Linked DNA regions of Cricetulus griseus. The protein of the gene in region 2 interacts with the protein of the main gene of each other region in a pairwise test. Links are inferred from orthologs where the notes say so. Each region holds a gene or a part of one and is shown on either strand. Other genes may lie near its edges.

The links. The genes of interacting proteins can lie anywhere in the genome.
Region 1: the proteins of Cby2 (region 2) and Mettl17 interact in binary tests that used the Homo sapiens proteins (3 or more experiments, as listed by UniProt). The link is inferred for Cricetulus griseus from reciprocal best matches to the Homo sapiens genes CBY2 and METTL17.

What each region holds. Positions count from the first base shown.
Region 1 is NW_023276807.1:206,952,093-206,960,050, reverse strand, and holds the start of Mettl17 (methyltransferase-like protein 17, mitochondrial), read right to left. Parts: upstream 4,262-7,958; 5' UTR 4,188-4,261; coding exon 4,110-4,187; intron 3,983-4,109; coding exon 3,829-3,982; intron 3,750-3,828; coding exon 3,615-3,749; intron 2,287-3,614; coding exon 2,205-2,286; intron 1,931-2,204; coding exon 1,849-1,930; intron 1,564-1,848; coding exon 1,490-1,563; intron 657-1,489; coding exon 562-656; intron 81-561; coding exon 10-80; intron 1-9. UniProt on the Homo sapiens protein: Mitochondrial ribosome (mitoribosome) assembly factor. Binds at the interface of the head and body domains of the mitochondrial small ribosomal subunit (mt-SSU), occluding the mRNA channel and preventing compaction of the head domain towards the body.
Region 2 is NW_023276807.1:229,959,094-229,967,312, forward strand, and holds the start of Cby2 (protein chibby homolog 2), read right to left. Parts: upstream 4,620-8,219; coding exon 4,545-4,619; intron 4,223-4,544; coding exon 4,142-4,222; intron 3,507-4,141; coding exon of another isoform or gene 3,459-3,506; intron 1-3,458.

The sequences.
Region 1 (7,958 bases), about 23 Mb from region 2:
GCTACTTGCCTTGGGTGACACAGGTAGAAACTGTCTGAAAAAGACACCTGGGATACAGGGCTTCCCTGATTCTGAACCACCTACGGAAGAAAGATGTGGCAGCAAAGACAGAACATAAACTTTATAGCCAAAGTTTACACTCAGTGAAGAGACATTCCTCAGATAACCCCAGCTGAGAGGTGCAGGACTGTAATTAAAAACGTGGCCTACTAATCCCATCCAACCAACCAGAGTCCCATAAAGGCCTCTAATATTGTCTCACTGTAATACTGGAAGGAGCCCAGATTATCTCAATTAATTAATTAATTAATTTTGGCTTTTTGAGACAGGGTTTCTCTGTGTAGCTTTGGAGCCTATCCTGGCACTCGATCTGGAGACCAGGCTGGCCTCGAACTCACAGAGATCTGCCTGCCTCTGCCTCCCGAGTGCTGAGATTAAAGGCATGAGCCACCAACGCCTGGCCGATTATCTTAATTTATAACTCTCTCCTCTACATCCCAATAAAATTCTTTCCTAACTCCCTCAACTTTTGGAAATCCCTGGATTAGAGCTTGGTCTCACCTTTTAGTAGCTTTTCAGCCAAACCCAACATGGCTGCTGAACTGTCCACACACACATATTCACGGAGGCTCTGGCCCCAAGTACTGTGAGCAGCCCTGAGATGGCAAGATGAAAACCACCAATTTTTATGACACACAGTCATTCCTTTTTTTTTTTAATGATTTATTTATTTATTATGTATACAGTTTTGGCATGCTAGAAGAGGGTACCAAATCTTACTATAGATGGTTGTGAGCCACCATGTGGTTGCTGAGAATTGAACTCAGGACCAGTGGAAGAGCAGCCAGTGCTCTTAACCTCTGAGTCAGTCATCTCTCCAGTCCCGACACGGTCATTCCTCTAAGAAACCCACCTGCTCTCAATCCCGCCCCTGGGGAATCAGGGCATTACATTAAAACAGATAAGCTAACAGTGTTATTTTATGTTCTTGGTACATTTACAACTTCTGAAATAAAAGGCAGATGATTAAAAAAAAACAAAACTGACTTGTAGACAATTTTTTTTTTTCTTTCTTCAAGACAGGGTTTCTCTGTGTAGCTTTGGAGCCTATCCTGGTACTCGCTCTGGAGACCAGGCTGGCCTCGAACTCATAGAGATCACCTGCCTCTGCCTCCTGAGTGCTGGCATTAAAGGAGTGTGCCACCAATGCCCGTCGACAAAAAATTTTTGATTGGCATGTAAAATCTATTCCCTACACTAAATTGCTTTCTCTTTTAACCCAAGTACTGAACCTTTTTCATGTGCACTGCTTTGAATCTGACCCTAATGTGAACACCTTCTTTTGCCTTGTCTAATCTGAGGGCAACAACATTTTAGGTCTAACTTTCTTGTTCTCTAGTATCCCAGTTTTTTGACACTGAGGTGGTATTGAAGATCTGACTCTCTAGAATTAGAACTGACACCACCAAGGGCTAAGAAAATTATTTACCAGGTGACAGAACCAGTGCCGGATCCAAAGTCCATCAACGTTTGTGGCTGGAACTCTGGAACTCGAGCCTGGATCTGAAGAAAATACATGACACCCACAGAAAGGTCAGTTAGCCTTAGTGAAGGTTAGGGGACCGTGACAGAGGTGGAACATGAATGCTTTATAAGATTCAATAAAAATACTTTGAGATAGGAAACATCTCAGTGATGCTAAACATTTCTCAGGCCATAGAATTATTTCAAAGGATAATAGGATAATTAACGTGTTTATAACATTTCAAGAACTCCTTTCACAAAAGACTAATTTACAGGTAATAAAAACAACGATAACAGGGTCAGGTGGGAACATGAGAGACTCACCTCATGGAATGCCCTAGAAACTGCTGCAAAACCACCGTCCAATCTTGCTGCCATATATATCAGACTCAGCTCTTCATTATAACTGCAAATAAATAAATAGAAAATAAAAATCAGTCATCCCCCACCAGGAAATACACCAGCCCCACAGTGACCCTCGGACGTTTAGGAAATGAAAAATTTGCAGAGGACTCTTCTGGGTTTCCCTTCCCAATACAGAACAGTCCAGGAAGCTTTCTCAAACACAGAGGTGATTAATTCTCTCAGCTCTCCTCCAATTCAACGTTTCTTCTCTGTACCCTTTCTACAAGTCCTTATATTCAATGTTTCTTCTCTGTACCCTTTCTACAAGTCCTTACCTGAGTTTCTGCCAATGGTAGGTAGTTCTGCGCAGGGCATTCAGTACTGCCCCACGAAGTTTCTCCTCTGTCTGAGTTGAGTCTAGGGTGAGAAGGGCTGGAGGTGAGGACCTGAGAGAACTGGTCAGATCCAATGTAGTACACTGCCCACCTAATCCTCCCCCACGCCCACCTGAGAAAACGCTCCAAGTTCAAGAGAAGCCAAACCCAGAGAAACCTCTGGAGAGAGTAAACCACCACTGTCCCAGAGTGGACCGAACAGTATGTTGCCTCTGATAGTACCTTAGTCAACTTAACCTATCCAAGCTTCAGAGTAAACAGAAGTCTGATAAAAAAACTAATTTTTTTTACATTTATTTATTGTGTGTGTATAGGTCTGAGTCAGTTCTCACCTCCAACCATTTGGTAGAAGGTCATCAGGTTCTGTGGCACATGCTTTTACTCTGTGCTCTCTCTCCTACCCATGTGATAAAAATTTAAAAGCTAGAATAAGGACATCTTCATGGACATTTTCACTTCCTTTACACTTAGTAGTGAGACATCTTCAATATTCCAATAGAAAGGCGCTTGGAATCTAGGACTCATGAGTGTGTTGAGCTCAGGACCACGTAGTAAAATTCTATAAACACCCACTGCAGTGGTTTGACAGAGAACAGCTGCCACCGGCTCACTGACTGAATGCTCTGTCACCAGGGAATGGCACTATTTGAAGGATTATGAGAGGTGGCCTTTTTGGGGGAGGTGTGTCACTGGAGGTAGGCGTTGAAGTTTCAAAAGGCCATGCTAAGCCCATAGTCTCTTCCTGCTGCCTGCAGGCTCAGATGTTGGAATCTCAGTTACTTCTCCAGTACCATGTCCACACTCGTGCAGTCATGCTCCCCGACATGGTGACAATAGACTGAAACTGTAAGCTAGCGCCAATTAAAATGCTTTCTTTTATAAGAGTTGTCTCTTCACAGCAATAGAACACTAGGACAGCTACTCTGAACCAGGTACCGTGGGACATGAAGGGAATACAAGAATAAGGAGCAAATTTGCAATATAAAGTTCACAATCTTGAAAATAATCTGAAATGTAATCACTTTCTACTCCTGAAGTAGATCTCACTACTTACTGCCAGCCACCTATACGGCCTTTATTCTACCAGAATCAACATATAGTCATAATCTATCAGACTTGAAGAGGTAGGAAAAAAATGAAGAAAACAAAAAACCCAAATATATAAATTTCTGACCTTTATCCAATCTCCAAGGGCAACCTCTGGCCCAATCTACCTTCTAGTAGAGCATTACTACTGCTGTTACTACAACAACAAAAAAACGGCAGCATTTATCCGAGAGATTTGTTATTCCTTGCTCCTAACTTCTCACTGACATTTCAATATGGTTCACTTTTAGTCTTAAATCCTACCTTGGCTTTCTAGGAATTTTTTCTCAAGATCCGCAGCCCGTCTTTGCAACTCCTCAGGCTCTACTGGCAAATGTCGGCTCCAGAGATAGTTGGTGAGCGCCTGCACCTGCTTCTCTACATTGCGGACGGGTCTCTCTGTGGCCACAGATGGAAAGACATCACTATGTGGTGGCCTCGTTTGTTTCTTTGGTTTTCCCTTCCCGCAGTTTCTCACCAAGAAGCAATAACTGTGCTGCGTCAGCCAGTGCTTGCGGCAGCCGCACGTGCGGAAGACGCAGGATGCCAGGATGCTTACGATGGGGCGTCTTCCCCAGAAAATCGGAATTGTTGTCTACCTGGGACACACCGGGCACAAGGGCGGCGAAAGCCTGCAGACCGCGAAAGAAACAGAAAGGTTGCACGTGCCTGCTGCGGGAGGCATCGCCGAGGTCGCTCCTCCTCCGAGAGATGTCCCTGGAAACCAGCTCTTTGCCAGCAGAGGAAGGGTGCACTTACTCGGGACTGGGATCCTCGAAGGCTGCGGCACCATCTGCAGCACCTAATTAGAAGCTTCACCTCCTTGGCGGTAGCCATGGCTCCAGGACACACCGGAAACGGAAGTGCAAGTGTCTGTGACCATCAGCCCAAGTAGCTGAAAGCATCTTCCGTGGAACTTCGACCCGGACGGTGTCAACTAATGAGAAGAGGGAGTATTTGCTAGCAGCCAATAAGCGATCTGTATGTACATCTTTTTGCGACGGAAGCCGTACGTGGGAGGGGCTTAGTCACCAGAAGGGGCGTGGTCTCAAACTGCGCGGGCCTGGGGCGGAGACCAGCGGGGCAGGGGAGGGTTTGGGGACGGGGAGCAGCCTCGCAGGGGGCGGGGACTCGCGGGGCGAGGCCTGGGCAGGGCCAGGGGCGGGGCTGAGAGTTGGGTGGGCAGGTGAAGACAGAACGTGTTGACTTCCTTTGTCTTCGTTTGGTGCCAGAGAATTCTGAGCCTTGGCTGCTTTCCCCGAGTAAAACGGGAGAATACCGTAACAAAAATCAGATTTAGGTGACCAATGAAATTTAGGTGTAACGAAAGCTAATAATTATTATACTTAGCAATTTAATAAATATAAAGCCTAATTGATTTACTTTTTCTTCCGTTTGTTGGTTGTCTTTCCGAGTATGCTCCAGGCTTTCAAAGGTTAAGAACTTCCACATAGTACACCGAATTCCCACAAACCTCTGTTATTAACCTAATTTTTCATGTGGTTAAACGCGTACAAGATCGCGAGCTTATTAGGTGGCAGCTGAATTAAACGCTAGGGAATTGAAAGTCCGACTTATATCTTTAAACAACACTACACTGGGTATTGTTGGTCCTTGGAATGCAAATGAAGAGTTTTATGCTAAATGTTCCAAAGTGCTAACGTGTGGCATTAAAAAGGCCTCAGGGTGCTGTAAACTCTTGGTTCCTGGAAGCACGCTTTACACAGCTGTGGCTTCGTCTCTAACCTCGTGGCGGTAGAAGCATACCCTGCATAATCATCAGTACAGATAGAATAATTACGCGACCACATATGGGCAACTGTACTAGCTGGATACATCGGTGCCTGGTTTGTTTCTGGGTCGTAGAGATTTGACTTTATCAAATGACTCTCGAGCCTCGAGGGTGGGTGGTTGACAGCTGTGGAAATGTGCTGCCACCTACTGCACATTTCCTTTATTTCTCTTTGATTTTGTTTTTGTTGTTCGGAGGTCTCTAATAGCTCTGACTGGCCTGGAACTCACTATCTAGACCAAGTTGGCCTACAAGGCTTAGAACTCACAGAGATCTGCCAGCCTTTGCCTCCCAAGTGCTAGGTTTAAAGGCCTGTGCCCCATGCCCAGCCTCAGCTTTGCATTTCTTGTACTTTAGTTTTATGTTAAATTCCTGGCTTGTGCTGAACAATAAATATCACTGCCACTTACAGGTCTGACATGATAGAAGATTGAATGTGTTTTTTTGTTTGTTTGTTTGTTTCGTTTTTTGTAGGCAGGTATCAGAACATAGGGTATTACCCCTGGGGTCTGGTGGTGAGATTCTAGAGCAATGCCAGTTGATGCTTTAAAGGGTTGTTGTAATGATATGAAAATGTCTGGGTCAAAGTAAACCTTCAATAAATTTATGCTGCTATTTTTATGAGTACTTTTGGAATTCGAAGGGACATGATTATATATTTAAATTGTTATTCTTCATCCATATCATTTTAAAAACAGACATGAAAATAACAAGTTTTTGGGGGCCAGGTAAGACTGAGCACTGGGGAATGAGAAGAAATCAGAGAATTGGTAGTGTCTGTGAATGACATTCCTCTTTTCCCTATCAAATTGCTAATAGAGATGTAACTTCTTCATTGGAAATACAACATCTCAAGAACTGACTGTGGTGGTTTGAATGAGAATAGCCCCCATGGGCTCATATGTTTTAATTCTCCCCCCCCCCTTTGGTTTTTGAGTCAGGGGTATCGTTGTGTAACAGTCCTGGCAGTCCTAGAACTCCCTTTGTAGATCAGGCTGGCCGTGAACGCACAGAGATTTGCCTGCCTCTGCCTCCCAAGTGCTGGGATTAAAGGCATGTGCCACCACCGCCACCAGGTTGTGTTTGAATTCTTTGATCCCAGTTGGTGGAACTGTTTGGGAAGGATTAGGAGGTGTGGCCTTGCTGTGCTTTGAGGTTTCTCAGAAAACTGGTGCCATTCTCAGTGGCTCGCTCTGCCTTCTGCTTACAGTTCCATAGGTGAGCTCCCAGCTATTCCTGATACCATGCCTTTACTCTGAAAGTGTGGATGCTAATCCTCTGGAATCATTAACCTCAATTAAACACTTTCTCTTATAAATTGCTCTAATCAAGGCATCTTACAAAATCTCTACTTTTTACAAAATTATTATTTTTGTATGTGTATGTATGTGTGTAAATGTGTATATAGCGTGTGTATATGAATACGGTATGTGTATGGAATGTGTGATGTGTATAGCTGGTGTGTGTGTGTGGGGGGGGGCAGTGTACAGGTGTGCTAGTACCATAGTGTGTGTTTGGGGATCAGAGGACTTTTGGGAGAAGCTCCTACCTCCAATCATGTTGAGTCAAAGTCCCACTTGTTAGTTCTGCTGCTGGCCTGTGCACTCTAGGCTAGCTGGCAGCAAGCTTCTGTGCAGTTTTTCTGTCTTTCTCCATTTCACTGTAGGAGTGCTGGGATTACAGAAGTGCACTACTGTGCTTCTCCTCAGGCCTGGGTGGCTGGAGTTTAGCTCCTGAGCCATTTCTCCAGTTCTTCTTTCCTTTCCTTTTCTTTCTTTCTTTCTTTCTTTCTTTCTTTCTTTCTTTCTTTCTTTCTTTCTTTCTTCCTTTCTTCCTTCCTTCCTTCCTTTCCTCTTTCTGGGACAAGGTCCTGCTGTGTGGTTCTAGCACTGGCTTGGACCTTACTATGTAATCAGGCTGGACTCAAACTCATGGCAATCCTCCTGCCTCTGTTTCTCAAGTGCTGGGATGATAGGTGTGTGTGCACCACCCAAACCAGCTTCTTTCCCTCTTCCTCCTCCTCCATCTTCTGTTGCAGTTTTCCCACCACCCCTGCTGTTTTTCCTCTTCTCCCTCCCCTTCCTCTTCTCCTTCCCTGTTCCTCCTCATTTGATAACATCATTCTATGTAACCTAGGCTGGCCTTGATCTTAGGACCCTTCTGTCTTTGCTGCTGGAGTACTAGAATTTACAGGTACATGCTATCTGTGTTCTGGGATGCTATAATTTGAAAAGGGAAGCCATATCATATAAATAATATATTGTCCAATAAATGCATTCTTGTTTTTATTTCAGAACATCAATTGCTTTTGAAATTTTTCCTCTGTAAAACTTTGACTTATATTTATTATGTAAAGCTCATCTCAGACTTTTGCTGCTGCACCCCATGTCACAAGACTGTGCCTAACTTTGGGGGTCTAGGCATGAGAAAGCAGTTCTATTTTTCAGAGGTCTGGAAACATTGAACTGTGGTTAGGATGTATAACCCAACTAAACTTATTTCTTTTCCAAATTGCTCTTGGTATGTGCTTTATCACAGCAACAGAGAAACCTAACTAAGGCACCACGTTCCCAGATTTATGGGGGTAGTATGCTGTGTGATTTCCCTGTGATCTTTGACCCGTTTGCCACCAATTGCACCACTCCAGCTATGGGCTCCTCCCATGATGATTGGGATGCCAAGTGAGAGAATAGTTTCCTTCAAGATAAGTCAGGTCACTCCATGTACCTTCTCTCGTAAGTAGAAGAGGCCTCTACCCAGCCTGAGAAACTGCACACAAAGACCGGCAGACAGTTATAGATTCAGTCCTGGGGAGC
Region 2 (8,219 bases):
AAGCTATTTCAGTTGGCATTGCTGTGAGCCAAAGAGGAAGGAGGAAAAAATAAAGGGAAATGGAGTGGGCACTAGGAAGTACTGTCAGCTGCATTCAGATCCAGACAGAGATCTCTCCTTGACGATCTAACGCTAATCTTTCATTGACAATCTAGCACTAACAATGTCTAAAGGAAACAGCTCACTGGGGAAGCTTGAATGCCTGGAAAAGTGAGTCTGTGTATAGAAGGAGATCAGTTGCTTGGACAGGAAATAACACTATGGCTTGCAAGCTAATGTGCTAGAAGAAAAAACGTGTTCAATGTGAGGAAGAAAAATGTGAAATCAATAAGACCTGAAAAGACCTAAAGGTGATAACTAGTGAATCATAGCATTTGCAGTGCAATCGAGAACTCCAGCCAACCAGTAGAGCAGGAGACAGAGGTACTGTTATAATTCCCTTCCAAAGAGAATGAACTCAACTCAGAATGAAGCTACCTGGAGCAGATACATACTGGCAGCTTGGGGGTTAGCAGTTGCAGTCTAGATGAGGGGGGAAGATGCACTAGATTCTAGAAGCAAGAGAAGAATTAGAGCTAAGACATCACCTGAACCCACTGAATAGCATGACAGGCTGGACACTGACCTGGGTTAAACCTCAGCTCTGTCCTTGTTACTGAGTATTATAAGGAGAGCCGGTGATCCATAGTCCATAAGGTTAAGATATTTTTATACTGATAAACGCCAGCCAACACAAGCCAGAGCATGCCAGGGACCGCAAGGCAGGCAGGCCAGAGAGAAGGGGAGCCCACGTGCCTTGCAGCTCCTTAAAAACCCATCATGCATCATCCTGACCTCACCTTGACCATGCCTGTCAGGGTGTGGTCAGGCACAGCTGTAGCCACCACCCCTTAGGAGGCGTGGTTACGGTGTCTCCCTACAGAGTCTCCCAATTCCAACAGCTGTGAAATCTCTGCCTTATACTTGCATGGCCCTGTGGCCAACAAGATATTCTTCTTCACCTTGTTTCTCATAATAATCCTGCCCCACTATCCCATTTGGGGAGGTACATGAGCATATAGGCCCTTCTCACAGCCAGATGGGTGGGGTCAGGGTTTTTTTTTTTTTTGCAGATTTTTAATTAGAAACAAGATTGTTTTACATGACAATCCCAGTTCCCGCTCCCTCCCCTCCTCCCCTACTACCCACCCCTAACTAAAACCCTACCTATCACCTATCCTTTCTGCTCCCCCTGGATGGTAAGGCCTTCCATAGGGTGTCATCAGAGTCTATCTTATCCTTTGGGATAGGGCCTAGGCCCACCCCCATGTGTCTTGGCTCAGGGAGTATCCCTCTATGTGGAATGGGCTCCCAAAGTGGGTGGGTCAGTTTACATCATCTAGTAAACTACTTCCCTACCCAAGAGGACCGGTCTAGGGTATCCTGACAGGTTGTCTGACTTGTGCCTGTAACATCCTGGCAGGAATGAAGATATTCTAAAGAGATTCTTAAGTCCATCCTTCTAGATATCAGATTATTGAAACAATGGACACCAAAAAAGTTCTGCTGTAGTCTTATGTTTGAAAAAGGTAAAGGCTGAGAAGGCTGGTGCCAGGCCGAAGGAAGATTGTCTCTCAGACATTTCACACATCATAACTTGTCAGACCACCCTGCAGAAGAGACTGGGGATGACACAATGATGCTGGGCTGGACCACTCCCAGACCAGGACTGCTTAGTTATGTGAACCTCTGCACCTCTACTTAAACCCAAATTTCATGTTCAAGATGTCCTCCGAGGACCACTAACACCTCGTTCCTCCTTCAGGTGTTGCCACACTGAAGAATTATCCTCTTCCTGCTTTTCAACACCAGCTGCTTACTTAAGTGACCTAGAGATGACTGCTGACTAAGCCTGGCTGGCCATGAAAAATCTCCAGACAGCAGTGACCTCTTCCTTCCATATTCTTCTGCCTTCCAAGATCCAGGTCCCACAGCACAGGAAGTAGGCCTGAAAGGACCAGAACAAACCCAAGACTCCTCAAACACCTTTTCTCCTTGACTGCTAAGCTGGCGCTGGGAGCTAGGGACAAAGTCATGCCAGGGGTAGATGGATCTTTCTAATCTTTCTATGGCATGGCAGTAATGAAGGCTTTGTGTCAGCTTGCTAGATTAAGAAACACCCAGGGCATTAGCAAGGCACACATCCTTGATGTGTCTGTGGGGACTTTATGGGGAAGGACTAACAGAGGGGAGGCCCATACTTAATGTGGCTAGTGCTTGAAGGGACCAGCTTCCCTTTTGGCAGCCATAATGACCAAACACGTGCTCTATGACCTTGTCTTAGTCACTAGAAAGTCAGATGCCTGCCTCGTGACAAGGAAACAATCAGAAGTTAGTCACTAGAAAGTCAGATGCCTGCCTCGTGACAAGGAGCCAATCAGAAGTTAGCTGATAGCGCTATGCTTTATGACCCTGGGTGTGCTTTATGGACAAGCGCACAGCAATGACGCACAAAGCATAGCAACCACCCTGGGAGGGCCTATGGGCCATAACAGCCAGTTGACCAATCAACACAGGGCAAACCCTCCAAGCCTGGAGGCACACCAATCCTGAGCCTGTGCATACCCCTAAACACTCCCCTTATGCTGCCCTATAAAGATCTGTATGCAGCAGCTTCAAACTGTCTTTGCTAGCCATCTGCCATGGTGGGTGGGTCAAAGACCCGAGCTAACATGGTGTTAGCTCGTTAAACTACAATAAAGCCTCATGCAATTTGCATCTAGCTTTCGCCTCCATTCTGTGATTGGGGTGGCCGAGGTCCTGGGCTAAGATTCTGGAAGCCTCAGCTTTCCAAGGGTCTTACAGTGCTCATGAACTAGCATCCTGGACTGAGAAAAACATGGATCTGCAGTGATGTGAGGCAGCGGCCCCACCCCATAGCTTCCACTTCACAACAGATTTACCCCTCAACCAAGATCCAAAATAAAGACTTCCTCCCTTAACTTGCTTCTTGCCAGGTATTTGGTCACAACAATGTGAACAGCAAGTAATACACCTACTTTCAAATCTTATTCCCAGCCCCATTCCCACTCCCACATCTGGGCTGGTATCTCCTGTCTGCCCCTAACATGTGGGCTAATAAAGGTACCAAAGGAACCACGGCCACCCTCATGCACAGATGTGTAGTTTATGTGTCAGGGATCAGACCTAGCAAGGTTCCTTGTTCTTCTATAGGATGCCCAGGACATAGTTGCCTAATAATCTGGCTTAGCTATCATGAGCTGAAAGAGATGTAACTGTGGCTGCTTACTACAATGCTGTAAGGAAAAAAAATACCCAGGTGGTTCTCTTGTCCTGTGTTTCTGTCTCCTTCTCACCATATTTGCTGAGCTCATTATAATTACACTAATAGAGAACACCAGCCAGAGATCCATCCTCTTTGTACATACCTCCTGAGACCAAACTTTTAGGGAAATTACCTGTGCCTTGGATCCCTCCATCCTACATTTCTCCTCCACTGGTTGCATGACCCTGGTCTTCCAATGAGCTCTTGGGTAACACTGGAGAAAGCAAGGCCACCCCTTTGTGACATAGCAACAGAAGGAACACTCAAGTAAAAGGGGGTCCCACTGAGAAAGTTGCTGTGTGCAGGAGATCTGGAGACCACAAGCTATAAGTGTTTTAATCATTCACTGGCTTCAAAAGAAACAAGTGAACATTCATCCCCAGTAAACCATCTTTGGCCCATGGCAGGGCTTAATCCTCTTGACCATTGCAAGTGGGCTCCATTCTGGGGTTTCAGCTCCTGTGTTCATTCTTATGCATCTGGATTCAAGGTTGACTCTAGTTCTCTACAGATGTCCTGAGTGGTTATACACTACCATGCAATGAAGGGTCTCCTTTGGGAAGGTTAGACTTTTGTCATAGTATCAACAAATCTTGAAAGGCTAGTGCTGGAGGACCTGACCATCCAACTCAGTCTCCTCATTCAAGGCCAGAGGACCCCAAGGTTCAGAGAATCCATGTGTCCTCCTCAAGACAAATGGGCAGGAAAACAACACCAACATGACAAGAATCTGAGTGGCTGACTTCGCTGTTCATTCTGTAAGGCTTGGAAACAGGGTTATTCTAGCAAGTTACATTCTTCCATGATTGTCCCTACCTGAGGTAGAACCACATTGATTGGAATTTCTAGGCTTTCAGATCTGGTATCTCTCTTTCTTGTAAAAATTGGCCTCGAGTGCTGTGAAAAAGAAAGAATCAGATTTCTCCTTCTCAACCCATCCTCAGGGCCTCAGTGGCTCACCTGAAACACATAACCTCTTTCTACACATTTATGTCCTTCTGACTAATTTTATACCTTATAAAAATCACAGTCTCAAGGCATGTGTACATGGCGCCTGGCCAGAAGTCTTACTGCTCAGTGATCAGGAACTGATCGACACTGATCACTGAACAAAAAACCAAGACAGGAATGAACTGATATGAAGCCCTCTTACAAGAAGAAATCATTGCAGCTCTTCCTGGTTTTACACTACGATTTCTATATAAGTAAAAAGCCATACCAATGTGAGGTGCCAGGTATAGGTCCTATGCATAAGCTGGTCACCAAAACACTCAGAACATTCCAGAGGTGACATCACAGAACAATATGGTGTTTTTCTGAGCTCATGGTTTCTCTCCGGGCATCTCAGGTGGGAACGAGGCTTCTGCAGGAAGGAAGAATTGCTGCTGGCTGTGCTCAGGTGGCCAGCCCGGGTCAGTGTGACACACAATAGCCCTTGTTTGGTCAGCTGGCTGCCACTCACACCTCACTGCCAGGCTGGCTTGAACCTCTCTACCTCCCATCAGAGGTGGCATCTGTTTCAATCACATTAATTAGGAAAAGAGAAACATTAACTGTCTAGACCTGGAGAGACTTGGCACTACTGAGGAACTCCAGTCCAGTTCCACTCTGATAATAGCTACATGTCAGGTTCCGAGAAGTTAGGGGCTCGGCCCTAAAAGATGATCTTTTACTTCAAGTACCAATCCCATATCAGGGCCACCTGTACTTGTAACTGGTTAGCCATGCAGGGGTTACCCTAAGCTGCTCCTCAGGTTCAATAGCTGTCTCTCAGAACACAGGAGAGTAATTTACTTAGGATCACAACTTTAAGAAGCATGCAGCTCAGGAGGGGCCAAATGGTAATGATAAAGGGTGAGCTGTTTGACAGGGTAGTGTCGTAAACCTTCTGGCCTTCTCTGGACACACCTGCCTCCCAGCATCTTCAATGTCTGAACCCAGTTGTTTAGAGGTATTTGTGGAGTTCCATTATGTAGGCAAATTTTATCAAATCATTAGCCTTTGATCACTTAACTAAATGTCAAATCCTTCCAGAGGTAGACGTTTGCTGAAAATTCCAACCTTCTAATCACCTGATTGGTTCCTCTGACAATCACCCCCCACCCCCAAAGTCATTCCCCTAGCATAAACTGATGTGTTTCAAAGGAGGTCCTGTCAGGAAATCCCAAGGGTTTAAGAAACACTGTTCTGATAGAAAAATACAACCAAACATATCACATGTAGAACCTGCATTAAGGCCAGAACACTCATCCCTCCATCCTTAGCTCTGTCAAATCTGTCACCTCCAGATCCATTTAAGAGCCCCAGTTCTGTGTGATTTTGCCCCTTGGGGTAGGAAGAGAGTAGGTTTCCGGGGTTTCCTCAATGAAACCCATGTTCCTGGGGTCTGGATCAGTCCCATGCTGGTAACCCAGCTATCAGTCTGGGGAGCAAGAGTTCCCCCATGTTCAGATCAGTTGTTTCTGTGGGTTTCCAGCCTGGTCTGGACCCCTTTGCTCTTCACTCGTCCTTTTCTGCATCTGGATTCCAGTTCAGTTCAATGATTAGTTGTGGGTGTCTGCTTCTACTTCCACCAGCTGCTGGATGAAGGCTATAGGATGGCATATAAGTCAGTCATCAATCTCATTATCACGGGAGAGCATTTAAGGTAGCCTCTCCTCTGTTGCTTAGATTGTTAGCTGGTGTCATCTTTGTAGATCTCCAGACATTTCCCTCGTGCCTGATTTCTCTATAAAACTAAAATGTCTCCCTCTATTATGACATCTCCATTCTTGTTATCTTCTATTCTTCCCCTGACTCAACCTTTCTGCTCCCTCATGTCCTCCTCACCCCTCCCTTCTTCCCTTCTCATTCTCCTAGCTTCCTCCCCGTCTTCCCATGCTCTCAATTTGCTCAGGGGATCTTGAACCTTTCCCCTTTCCCCTTTCCCCAGGGGACCATGTATGTCTCTCTTAGGGTCCTCCTTGTTTACTAGTTTCTCTGGCAGTGTGGATTGTAGGCTGGTAATCCTTTACTCTATGTCTAAAATCCACATATGAGTGAGTACATATGATGTTTGTCTTTTTGTGATTGGGTTATCTCACTCAGAATGGTTTCTTCTAGTTCCATCCATTTTCCTGCAAATTTCAAGATTCCATTGTTTTTTTCCACTGAGTAGTACTCCATTGTGTAAATGTACCACATTTTCTCTATCCATTCTTCAGTTGAGGGGCATCTAAGCTGCTTCCAGTTTCTGGCTATTACAAATAGTGCTGCTATGAACATCGTTGAACAGATGTCCTTGTATGAATGTGCTTCTTTTGGGTATATGCCTAAGAGTGGAATTGTTGGATCTTGTGGTAGACTCATTCCCATTTTCTTGAGGAATCACCATACTGATTTCCAAAGTGGCTGTACAAGTTTGCACTCTCACCAGCAGTGGAGAAGTGTTCCCCTTTCTCCACATCCTCTCCAGCATAATCTGTCATTGGTGTTTTTGATTTTAGCCATTCTAACAGGAGTAAGATGGTATATCAGAGTTGTTTTGATTTGCATTTCCCTAATGGCTAAGGATGTTGAACTCTTTCTTATGTGTCCTTCAGCCATTTTAGATTCCTCTATTGACAATTGTCTATTTAGTTCTGTACCCCACTTTTTAATTGGATTGTTTGGTGTTTTGGAGACTAGCTTCTTGAGTTCTTTGTATATTTTGGAGATCAACCCACTGTCAGATGTGGGATTGGTGAAGATCTTTTCCCATTCTGTGGGCTGCCGTTTTGTCTTGCTGACTGTCTCCTTTGCCTTACAGAAGCTTCTCAGTTTCAGGAGGTCCCATTTATCAATTGTTACTCTCAGTGTCTGTGCTACTAGTGTAATGATCAGAAATCAGTCTCCTTTTCCTTTAATTAATTAAAGGCTATTTTCTACTTTGTCTTCTAATAGGGTTAGTGTGGCTGGGTTTATGTTGAGGTCTTTGATCATCTTGACTTAAGTTTTGTGTATGGCGATAGGATTGAGTCTATCTGCAGTCTTCTACATGTCTGCATCCAGTTATGCCAGCACCATTTGTTAAAGATGTTCTCTTTGTTCCATCGTATAGGTTGGGATTGTTTGTCAAAAATCAGGTGTTCGTGTTAGACCCCCGGAAAACTCAGGTATCCAGGGTCCCAGGCCACGACCTCGGTCACCCCAATCACCAGGCAGACTCCAGAGCTTGCTGCAAACTGCATGAGGCTGTATTATAATTTAACGAGCTAACCCCATGTTAGCTCGGGTCTTTCACCCACCCGCCATGGCAGATGGCTAGCAAAAGACAGCTCCTAGGGACTCCCAAGAGATCTTATAGGACAGCGTAAGGGGAGTGTCTAGGGGTACGCACAGGCTCACGATTGGTGTGCCTCCAGGCTTGGAGGGCTTGCCCTGTGTTGATTGGCCAACTGCTTGTTATGGCCCACAGGCCCTCCCAGGGTGGTTGCTATGCTTTGTGCGTCATTGCTGTGCACTTGTCCATAAAGCACACCCAGGGTCGTAAAGCATAGCGCCACCAGCTAACTTCTGATTGGTTCCTTGTCACGAGGCAGGCATTTGACTTTCTAGTGTCTAGGACAAGGTCATAGAAGCTCGTGTTCGGCTATGACTGCCGAAAGGGGAGCTGGTCCCTTCATTCGTAGGTGTATGGGTCAATATCAGGGTTTTCATCTCTATTCCATTGGTCTACCTGTCTATTTTTGTGCCATTACCAAGCTGTTTTCAGGACTATAGCTCTGTAATAGAGTTTGAAGTCAGGGATGGTGATGCCTCCAGAAGTTCCTTTATTTTACAGGGTTGATTTGGCTATCCTGGGTCTTTTGTTTCTCCATATAAAGTTGAGAATTGTTCTTTCAAGGTCCGTGAAGAATTGTTTTGGGATTTTGAT